Linked DNA regions of Arabidopsis thaliana. The protein of the gene in region 2 interacts with the protein of the main gene of each other region in a pairwise test. Each region holds a gene or a part of one and is shown on either strand. Other genes may lie near its edges.

Region 1 (7,278 bases), on a different chromosome or scaffold from region 2:
TCTTGATGATTAGATTTAGATATACATCATGAATATATACAAGTTTTTCTCTAACAATGTTAAATCTGGTGACTGGTGGTTAATACTTATAGGTATAGGTATCACTTTGATCTTTGCAGATGCCAAATCAGCTTTCACGAATTTGATCTATGCATGTGCTCTACTATGAACATGGTCGAAGGAGACACTATCTTGACAGTCCAACAATCATCGGAAGCACAATGCAACTTTGTAAACTTTGAGGCATTTGATTACTGTTGGAAGTTGATTCTCTACTCAATCATCCAATTGACAAGAAGACCAAAGAAGGAGAAGAAGTCTCAAATTGAAAGAACGAAGAAGAATATGTATGAGTCGTCAAGTACAAAGGAAGAAAAAGTTGGTAAGATCTTTGACTTGAAAATTAAGACAGAAGGTATCCCACTTCACGTAAGCTAACCACTCCTACACAAGATGAAAAAGAAGAAACAAATGGAATGTGAGGAACAAGAAACGAAAGATCAAAAATGATCTACAACTGCTGTTCAGTGCGGTCTGATACGAAAATCAACTCCCAATAAACAGTCACTAAGATGGTGAATGGATAATTAATCTTGGACTTCAATGGACTCGTGAAGCAAAAACCTTAGGTATATTAAACCGGAAATCTCGCTAAAGATTGGCAAAAGCTATAGTTGCTTACTTCTTACATAATAATAATAATTGATGTCGCAAAATTCAGAACAATTCTAAATTCAATATGTCGTGTTAAATCTGTATTCGATTATCAGATAAAAATATCATTTTATAGTCACATTAGAGGAATTCACTACTTTCACCATTTTACATTAATAATCGAGCACAAAGCATCGAAACCATTTTTTTACAACAAAGGCCGAGAGGACACATTTCTTACAGAAAAAAAGAAACCTCTCCAAGACCAATATCGTTGTTACATGATTACAACAACAACAGCACAAAAGAAAAGTAAATACAAATTATTTTCAGAACAAAAGTAGTCGAGTCACTCCAATGTAAGAAAACAAAGGACTTTTTACTCCGTGGTGATTTTCAAAACAGTGGTAAGTCTTGGCTTCTTGTATCTTCTAAGAAGCAAAGAAGAGCAAACAACACTAACCGAAGAGAGTGCCATACATGCTCCGGCTGCCCAAGGCGGTAATTGCACCCGCAGAACCGGGAAAAACACTCCTGCTGCTATCGGGATTGACACTACATTGTACGCCATTGCGAAGACGTAATTTAATCGGATTCGTGTTAAGGTTTTTCGAGAGAGATCGATGGCTGTTATAACGTCTTCTAAGTTGTTTCTCATCAGAACGTAATCTGCTGCTTCTATTGCTACATCTGTTCCTGCACCAATTGCCATTCCCACATCTGCAGCGGCTAGAGCGGGAGAGTCATTGATTCCGTCTCCTACCATGGCTACTGTGCTTCCGTCCTTTTGCAGCGAACGTATAACGTCAGCTTTACCAGCTGGCATTACTTCTGCTCTCACATCTTCGATACCAACCTGCACTCATGCCACCATAAACCCCATCAATATTCTACTAAAACAATTGTTTATCAAGATTGATTACACACTTATAGAAGTAAATATTTTAACGAAATCGAACCACTATAACCGAACAGAATGCAAAAAAAAAAAGAATGACTACACCTAATCACATAGATTGTGAAATAAGATTCTAACCTCTTTGGCGACTGCTCTTGCTGTTCTCCAGTTATCACCTGTAACCATTATGGGTCGAACACCCATTCTAAGGAGACCTTCCACAACCAAAGCGGCTTCTCGCTTTAGAGGATCCGCGATTCCCATCACACCAACTAATTTCCCATTATAGGCTACAATGACTCCCGTCTTTCCGCTTTCTTCAAGATCTTCCACAAATTTCTCGACATGGTCTGGGATGTTTATGGCATTTTCTGACATAAGTTTACGGTTTCCCACCTGATCAAAGAGGATAAAACAAAACTTTCTTTCAGTTGGCGAGAACAGGACCAAAAGCAAGAAGTTGATAATATATTATGGAATAAAACCCCAACCAGAATCATCTTCTCATTGACTAAGCACTGAATCCCTTTTCCGGGAAGAGCAGAGAAATCCGAGGTATCAAGTAACCATCCAGAGTTTTGCAAATCTTTGTTATTTGTTTCGCCATCTTCAGTGGATTCATCAAAGAAGTGGAAATGCCGAGCGTACGCAACTATAGCTTTTGCCAATGGGTGTTCACTGCTAGCCTAAGGAAATTAAGAGACAATATGAAAAGCTTTAGTAACAGTTTATACATCACTATCAATCCAAGCAGCTAGGAAGGAAGATTTATCTTACCTCAGCAGACGCAACAAGTGTAAGGAATTCTCCACGGTCCATCTCTGAGAAGACCTTTGTGGTTGTCACAGTAGCTTTTCCTTGAGTTAAGGTGCCTGTTTTGTCAAAGATTACATACTTCACTTTGTGAGCTTTCTCTAATGCATCACCTCCTTTGATCAATACACCATTGGTTGCTCCAACTCCTGTTGCCACCATAACAGCAGTCGGTGTTGCCAAGCCAAGTGCACAAGGACAAGCAATTACCACAACGGATATTGAGAACATAAGCGAGAAAACAAAGTGAGTCCCGTTCTCCGGAAGCCATTCGTCTGGGTAAGCTCCAACAGCTCCACCAATTGACCTTCAAAATCATATGTATCAAGAAATAAGAACAAACTAATCCCAAGTGTTTCGTTCTCAGAGAAAAATTAAAGCTAAGGTACTAGATCTTACCAGCCTACTAAGGTGAACAATGCCAAAGTAATCACTACCGGAACAAAAATACTTGCAACCTGAAAATTGGACAAGCCAGGGTAAGTTTGTGTCCCTGTTAATGACTATATCACAAAGGAACAAGCAATAACACCAATGGATGACACGCTTATTGACATGTTTATCTAATATACTTACATAATCCGCAAATTTCTGAATAGGAGCTTTTGACATTTGGGCGGTCTCGACCAAACTAATAATCTGGCTCAGAACTGCATCAGATCCCACCTTTGTAGCTTTCATGTGAAGAGCACCATGCATATTAATAGTACCCCCGATTACTGGTGAATCAACCTCTTTTGATACAGGAACTGATTCACCAGTCACCATACTTTCATTAACGTAACTTGAACCCCACACCACAACACCATCTGCAGGGATCTTTGCACCGGGATGAACTTTTAATGTATCACCAGGCTGAATCAATAATGCATCTATCTCCCTTTCCCCTACAAGCTTTCCTCCTATAAAAAGGAAGAAAGAATTGGAACTGAACTTAAACAAAGTTGAATAGTTGAGCTTTCGTTTTTGATAGATTTCAAGCTTATTGATAAACGATCCTCATTGGAAGCATTTCCGTATAACCAGCATTTCCATGTAAAAATCATTCAAGGATAAGACAAGTAAGTACCTTTGCCTTCAGTTAGTAAAATCGCTGTTGCTGGCGTAAGTTGTACTAGTTTCTTCATAGCATCCGAGGTTTTCCCCTTTGCAAGAGACTCTAAATATTTTCCCAGTAAGACAAAAGTTATCAGCATGGCGCTTGCATCAAAGTATGTTGGAGACCAAAATCCAGTGACTGCTCCATATAAAAGAGCCCCAACAGAGTAGAAGTAAGAAGCAGACGTGCCCAGAGCGACGAGCACATCCATGTTAGTTGAACCATTTCGTAGAGCTCTCCATGCTGCAACATAGAATCGCTTGCCGATAACAAACTGAATAACACTTACCAAGGCCCATTTCAACCAATCACCCATCATGAAGGGTCCACATCTCCATACCAGTAAGGCATCAAAAAGAGCAATGTGGGGGCAGATTACTTGGATGAAGAAGAGAGGAATCTGGAAAAGAAAATCATTTCTGTTAAATGACATTAGATAACAGATTCAAGACAAATGATTGTATCATAAATGGTGAGTGCATTCAAATAAGTTAAGTTACTCACACTAAGAACAAGACTGGAGATAAAACGCCGAAACATATTTGAGGCCTCTCCAGTATCTTTCGAAGACAACCTTTCATAAGGGCTCATAACACGCAACTTAAACTTCCCAAATCCATCTTCTTCAATCCCATCAACCAAAGATCTCGAACTAACAACTTCCGGATCAAACACAACCTCAAGCTCTCCAGATATCCTGTCAAGACGAAACTGTCTAACCCCATTCAATCTAGTAAGTATCCCTTCTAAAACCTGAGCATCAAGCTCATTCAAAATCCCATCCACCCTTAAAACAAGCTTATCCTGCTGATTACTCTGCACAAGCGAACCTTCAAACCCAGCATCTTCAATCGCATTAACAATATCATCCTTGTTAATAACATTTGGATCATACTCAACTTCTCCTAATGATGTAGACAAAGCTACCACTGCTCTTTTCACTCCAGGAAGATCTCTTAGAATACCTTCAACAGAGTTAACACAAGCTGCACAAGTCATACCTCCAATTGTAAATTGACCCACCAAAGTAGCTTGTGTCTGTTCTTCAGCCAATATCTCAGCCTCAAATCCAGCATCCTCTATAGCTTCTTTAATATCCTCTTCCTAAAAACATACAACAATAATAAATGCTCCAAATCAAATCAATTCCTGGAGCAATAAATTTCAACAACTACTGTATATATATATATATATAAGATCTCAAAAATCCAAAATGATGAAACCTTGACTAAATTAGGGTCGAAGACGACATCGGCTCGATTCTGTAACAAAGCAACAGAGGCTTTGAAGACGCCATTAACGTTCATCAAAGCTGCTTCAACGGAATTAGAACAAGCAGCACAAGTCATACCGGTGACTCCGACCTGAATCTTCCTTAAACCGGAAACATCTCTTCCTTCTTCGATTTTAGTCAAAATATCATCGGCGTTCGCTTCGTTGTGATACGAATCGAGAAGACCAACTTCTTCCATATCACTGATCTGGGAAGAAGAACCTCCGGTGACCGGAGTAAGCTGTAAATCCCGTCTACTCGGCGCCATTTCTTTACGACAAGCAGACGGGAAGGTTGAGAAATCGGAGAAGATAAAGAGGAAGGTATCTTCTTCGTCTTCTTCAACGATGATGATGATGGTGATTTGAAAATCTCAGAGACCTTTCTTTTTTCCTTTATGTAATAACAATGGAGGAATTTTTGAAGAAAAAAAAATTTTAAAAAAAAAAACAAAAAGTAAAAACAAAACTCAAAAATATTATTTTCGTAGAGAGATAGAAGAAGGTGGAAGATAGCAATTTTTCAACTAAAACACGTATCAGATAATGACAATTTTACCCTTAATCACTTTGAGTAAATTATATTTATGGGCTTTTTTGTTGTGATCGTCATTGTACACGACTAAATCAAAAGAAAAACTGAATCTATTTATTTATTGATTAGGATCTATTTATCCGAGTATTTTATATAGGAGCTGAAGTAAAAAAAGAAAAGCATTTTATAGGAGAAATCTATTATTACTATGTACGTATGTAATTAAAGGAAATATTAATAGTACTTGTTCAAGAGTTAACAAAAAATCTGGAAATATTAATAGAGTTTTAAAATATCTGAAAACATTTAAAAAAAAAACTGAAAATATTAATAGATTTTTAATGAAAAATCTAGAGCACTAGAGCTTTGATCTATACTTTTTTCATTAAATATTCTTAGAAACATGTTAAATGACATTTGTTAATGGTTTTTTTTACAGCATTTGTTAATGATTTTGATTGGTCTTGTTGATTTTTTAATTATTGCATACAGTTGTTCAAAACGTGTATGTTAAATAATTATTGTTTGAAGTCGTCGTCTACTAATTAATTTGATTCCAAAATTAAACAACCTAGTGTAGTCATAGACGAAGGAAAAAAAATACGATAGTAGTAGACTAGTAGTAAATGTTTATGGGCACATGGATCTTTGTGTTTATATAGGAAGTTACAGCTGTACTGTTTTTTCCACGGTAATTTTACTATGGTTCAATGGATGTAGCCTAGTCTGATCCCGAGGAGTGGTAGACTCGTGAGACCTATTTATATTTTTAAATAGTAGTAGTAGTCAAATAAATGCACCCATTGTTTATAATTAATTTATACTTAAACGTTGAAAATGAGGAAAAAAATGCAATAATATATGTTTGAAATCTAATTTCGATAAATTTTCTAGTTTTTGATAGCATGTTGTAACTTGTCAGTAATTTTAAATCAAATTATAAGAATCTTTTCAATTATAAATGACTTTTAGAACAAATATATGATTTGCCAATATTTTACTAATTTTTTAGTAGCAGATTAGTATTATTCAAATTCAAGATGATGTTAAAAAAATATTGTATCAAAATAGTATCATTTAGATATCTTTAAGAAAATCCAATGATACTATTTTTAGTTTGTTGAAAAAAATGCATACAAAATTTACCAATTGAACTATTTTTTTACCCAATAAAAATGCATACAAAAAACATTGAAAAATTAATATGTATAGTTTATTTCTTTACTGACTAATATAGACTACTAAACATAGTAGTAGACTAGAGTTGGTAAAAAAAAACATTGATTGGTAAAATAATTGCATAAAACAATTACAAAAAAAAAACTAACAAAGACAAAAGTCAAAATAAAAACTATGATAGAAGTTAGTCTAATAGTACTGGAAACGAGTATACCATGGCGTCAATTAATCTAATGTACCATGTGATAACAAGCAATGTGAAGCTAAATAATATAGGCGTTAATCTAAGAATTCTAATTCTTAGCTCTTGCCATTAGATATTAATTATATTCTTAGATTAATCAAATAGTAATTGTAACGAATGATATCATGCAATGTGAAGCTAATAATATGTGCGTTAATCTAAGAATTCTGATACTAGCTATTGCCATTGGATATTCTTAAAAAAATATAGCTATGGTTTTGGTTTTGGTTTTCTTCATTTTATATCTATTGTATTTCCAAAATCGCATATCTAATGAGTTTATCTATAACTCTTCTTCTTCTTTTTTTGGTATGATATAAACTCGGAACTATTACAGAGAACCAAATTCTGAAACATTGGAATAGTTAGTTTACTTTTTCTTTCGTTGGAATGTGACTTCCACTCCACTTATCAAAAGCTAATACACCAAATATACTTTCTCTCTGTCTGAATCATTCATTATGCTTTCTACGAACAAATAAAAAACAAGAAAAACAAAGGCAAAGATAACAATATGAACCTTCCACTTAAGAAAGATCAAGAGATAAGCTTTGACCTAAATGTATTAGACTATTAGTCTTTTT
Region 2 (3,660 bases):
ATTACACTGTTTGGACTTATGCATGATTCATGAATCAAAGTATAAACTTACTAATTTTCTGATTTCTAAAAAGTAAAGTGATGGTCGAATTGGAAGATGCGATGCATAAAAGTAGAAGCGTAGCTATAAGAATGAACTTGAAACTCATTTTGTCTTTGCCCTTTTCTGTTATGTCTATATGTGTAAAAGAGAATACAAAGTTCTTGTTAAAAGTTGTTTTCTTAGAGGGGGTGTATTCAATCTAGTATTTAAGTGATTTGTGTAAAATTTACAAATCTTATGTTATTCAATTATGGATTTTAAAAACTCTAATGAAATCCAGTTCTATTGAATTAATGATTTAAAAATCTATCTTAAAATTCATTGTTATTGAAAACAATTTGTGGATTTGATTCTTAAGAATTTTGAAGGATTTGAGAGGATTGAGAAGATTTCTTTACTTAAAAATACAGAAATCCAAATCTTATGGTTTTAGATGAAATTTGAAAGGAATGAGCAATAGGAGGAAAAAATATAAGTTGTTTCATTTATGTGTTAATGTGTGATACTATGAATAAATTGAAGTTGAGTATTGAGTGCACAATGAGATGTTTTTTGTATGTTCGTTTCAAATTTTGGAAAGGAAAACCAAAATAGCTCATACACATTTAAAGAGTGATTAATTGGTATGGACGTTACTTACTAATTTTTTTTCAAAATAAAAAAAACGATTCATGACTAAAATTAAGTTTTATATAAAATATATATATATTTGAACAAAAAAAATAAAATAAAGAATTTATATATAAATTGAACAGCACTAAATATGAATAAAAACAAAAATTTAGTTTGATAATATTAACATTACATGCCATTATGAATTTTTTATCTTCTTTAAAGATGGGTACTTTGTGTCTAAAAATACTAGCATTTGGATGTAAAAAATATTAATTTAGTTAAAACATTTGGATACCTAACATATTGCCACTCCTTACCCAAAAAATAAAACATATTGCCACTTATACTCTCAAACGGATTAGTTAGTTGTTGCAATAAATTATATTTAATTAATTGTTGCATTAAAAATGAATTAAGAAAAAGAGAATGGGAAATTCTTAAAAACACCCTTAAAATGAGTTTTTGTTTCAAAATACCATTAAAGCTATTTTTCCAAAAATACCACAAAACTGAAACTAAAACTTTAAGCCTTCAAACCTTAATTATAAACCCTAAAAACTAAGACTCTAAACCGAAAATAATACACTCAAACCTAAATTTTGAAATTGTAAACCTTACAAAATTATTTTGAGTGTTTGTGGTATTTCTGGACTAAAACAATTGTAGTGGTATTTTTGAAAAAAACTAATATTGGTACTTTTTGGACAAAAACTTAGTATAGTAGTATTTTAGGACATTTCTGAGAATTCCTTATTATATATTTTGAATGTGATAAACATATTTTTTAAAAATTAGTAGTAAGTATCAATTTTAAATGTAATCATATATGTGTATAAAAAGTTGTGTCAAAGAAAAATGTGCATAAAAAGTATTTTTACTACTTTTGTAATTTTTAGATCATAACAATGTGGTAAACACATATAAAACATGTGTCTAATTTAATGTTTCTTATTTTTCTATATTTATCTTTAATTGAAAACGCAATTGTGAAAATAAAAATAAAAAAGACCAAAAACAAAATAGATCATGGGTTTCAGAAAGAGAATCTTAAAATATTAGTAGTACAAAGTACAATCATTTTATGCTTAAAGACTTGTTCCAAGCCGTATCCTATCAAAACACTGCAAGTCTCTCTCTCTTTCAAGCCTTGTCGGTGGTTGAATCGAAAGCTATGTCTCAGGTATTTTTCATCAGTGTTGATTCTGTTCTTTGAATTCTCAATTTCTCGATCTGGGGTCATTATAAAGATTGTTCTGGATCTAGGTCTTATCTTATTGAATTCCTTCTTCTTTTCTATTCCATCGATCTAAATATGATATATCAATTGATCTGTGGTTCAAAAGCATTTTCAGAAACACAGATCTTGAATCTAAAAAGGGTTTGGTGTCTTGTGTTTGGTTTTCAGATGATCTTTAGTTAGTGTTTCAAATGGTTTTGGTAGATCACTTTTGTTAAGTTGAATCTGATTCTTAGCTATATGATTGTCTTGTTCGTTTGATCTATAAGTTGCACAGAAGTTAAGCTTATGGGTTACTTATGTTTATATATCGTTTAGACCGTTGTTCTCAGAGTGGCCATGACATGTGAGGGATGTGTTGGAGCTGTGAAAAGAGTTCTTGGGAAAATGGAAGGTTAGATTATTTTTCTTATTTTGGCTATTGATGTTATGATCTGTATCAAAATGCTTTGAACCCACTTGTCTTACGGTAAACATATAGATTCATCGGAAAAGATTGTCGATATCGCGGAATCTGCAATGTTTTCTATCTTTTCTAAAGCATGGAACATCACTCTCTTCACTCGGTTTTTTGGTTTCAGGCGTGGAGTCATTTGACGTTGATATAAAGGAGCAGAAAGTGACGGTGAAAGGCAACGTGCAGCCAGACGCAGTTTTACAGACCGTGACGAAAACCGGAAAGAAAACGGCTTTTTGGGAAGCTGAAGGTGAAACTGCTAAGGCTTAAGGAGAAGCAGATCATTTTATGTGATTCTCTGTTTTAATAAAATCTATGTGAAATCTTTTTATTTTCTTCTTCTGTTGCTTGTGACTTGTGGCTGAGTGTATTGGAACTATAGATGATACAACACACTTTTGAGTGAATAAATATGCACTGGGGCATTATCTGGTCTGATAAAGCAGGAGCCGATAACAAGCTTAGAAGAATTCTTACGTATGAAAGCAGCTCAGCGTAATCCAATTAGGCTTATGGCAACCTTTTTCCTTGGGCTTGCAAAATTGTGTTTTCACTAGCTGGAGGCTTAAAAGATGAGATGACCAAAGACCAAAGTCAAAACAATTCATGTTCTTTGGAAGAGTTCCAAGAAGAAATTGATCCAATCATTATTTTAATTAGCTAAAGAATCTTCCTATTCACTACAAGTCTCCAACATAAGACAAATCCTTGGATGCAGTTGAATCTTCCTCAAAAGAACCAGCCTCTGAAACGTTTGATGTTTTAAGAGAAGTAAAATTTTTTTTTTTGTTTTAAGATAGCTATGAGCTGGGCTGATTTTTCCACCGAATAATTTCTTCAGGGTGAGTGTAGCCGTTACAAATCTATGTTGGCCCAATGGGCCAGTTTGTTTGGAGAATCAATTTTTCAAGATCCATCATATAAAAACCTTTTGCGTGGGCTATATTGATGATACAATTCGACAAAATGGTAAATCTCAAAAGACTATTAGAAAATAATTAAAAACAAAAGAAAAGGCAAACGAATCGTGAAATTGTGCATCCAATTTTAATGATTAAATGATGAATTTTATGTTTGTTATTATTGATCTCTGGGTAACTTTTTGATATTTCATATTCATATCTGCAAAAAAAATAGATATTAAATTCCAAGGATCATAGCACAATTTTTCTTTATAAAGAGACCGAATTTGAGGAAAATTCATTGACAATGATGACACATTTTCACATAAACTTAGTCTTCACTAAAACCTATGATACTGAAAATTTAATTTAAATATATCAAATTCCATTCGTTTGTATGTACTATA

What was found.
Region 1: the proteins of ATX1 (region 2) and RAN1 interact in a two-hybrid assay, tested with the Arabidopsis thaliana proteins (one study listed by BioGRID).

The regions. Positions count from the first base shown.
Region 1 is NC_003076.8:18,074,813-18,082,090, forward strand, and holds RAN1 (copper-exporting ATPase / responsive-to-antagonist 1 / copper-transporting ATPase (RAN1)), read right to left. Parts: upstream 5,349-7,278; 5' UTR 5,006-5,348; coding exon 4,688-5,005; intron 4,569-4,687; coding exon 3,969-4,568; intron 3,865-3,968; coding exon 3,435-3,864; intron 3,268-3,434; coding exon 2,942-3,267; intron 2,824-2,941; coding exon 2,765-2,823; intron 2,673-2,764; coding exon 2,330-2,672; intron 2,239-2,329; coding exon 2,044-2,238; intron 1,949-2,043; coding exon 1,691-1,948; intron 1,511-1,690; coding exon 1,034-1,510; 3' UTR 750-1,033; downstream 1-749. UniProt on the Arabidopsis thaliana protein: Involved in copper import into the cell. Essential for ethylene signaling, which requires copper. Acts by delivering copper to create functional hormone receptors.
Region 2 is NC_003070.9:24,685,406-24,689,065, reverse strand, and holds ATX1 (homolog of anti-oxidant 1), read left to right. Parts: upstream 1-1,648; 5' UTR 1,649-1,738; coding exon 1,739-1,837; exon of another isoform or gene 1,838-1,920; intron 1,921-2,212; coding exon 2,213-2,288; intron 2,289-2,475; coding exon 2,476-2,621; 3' UTR 2,622-2,952; downstream 2,953-3,660.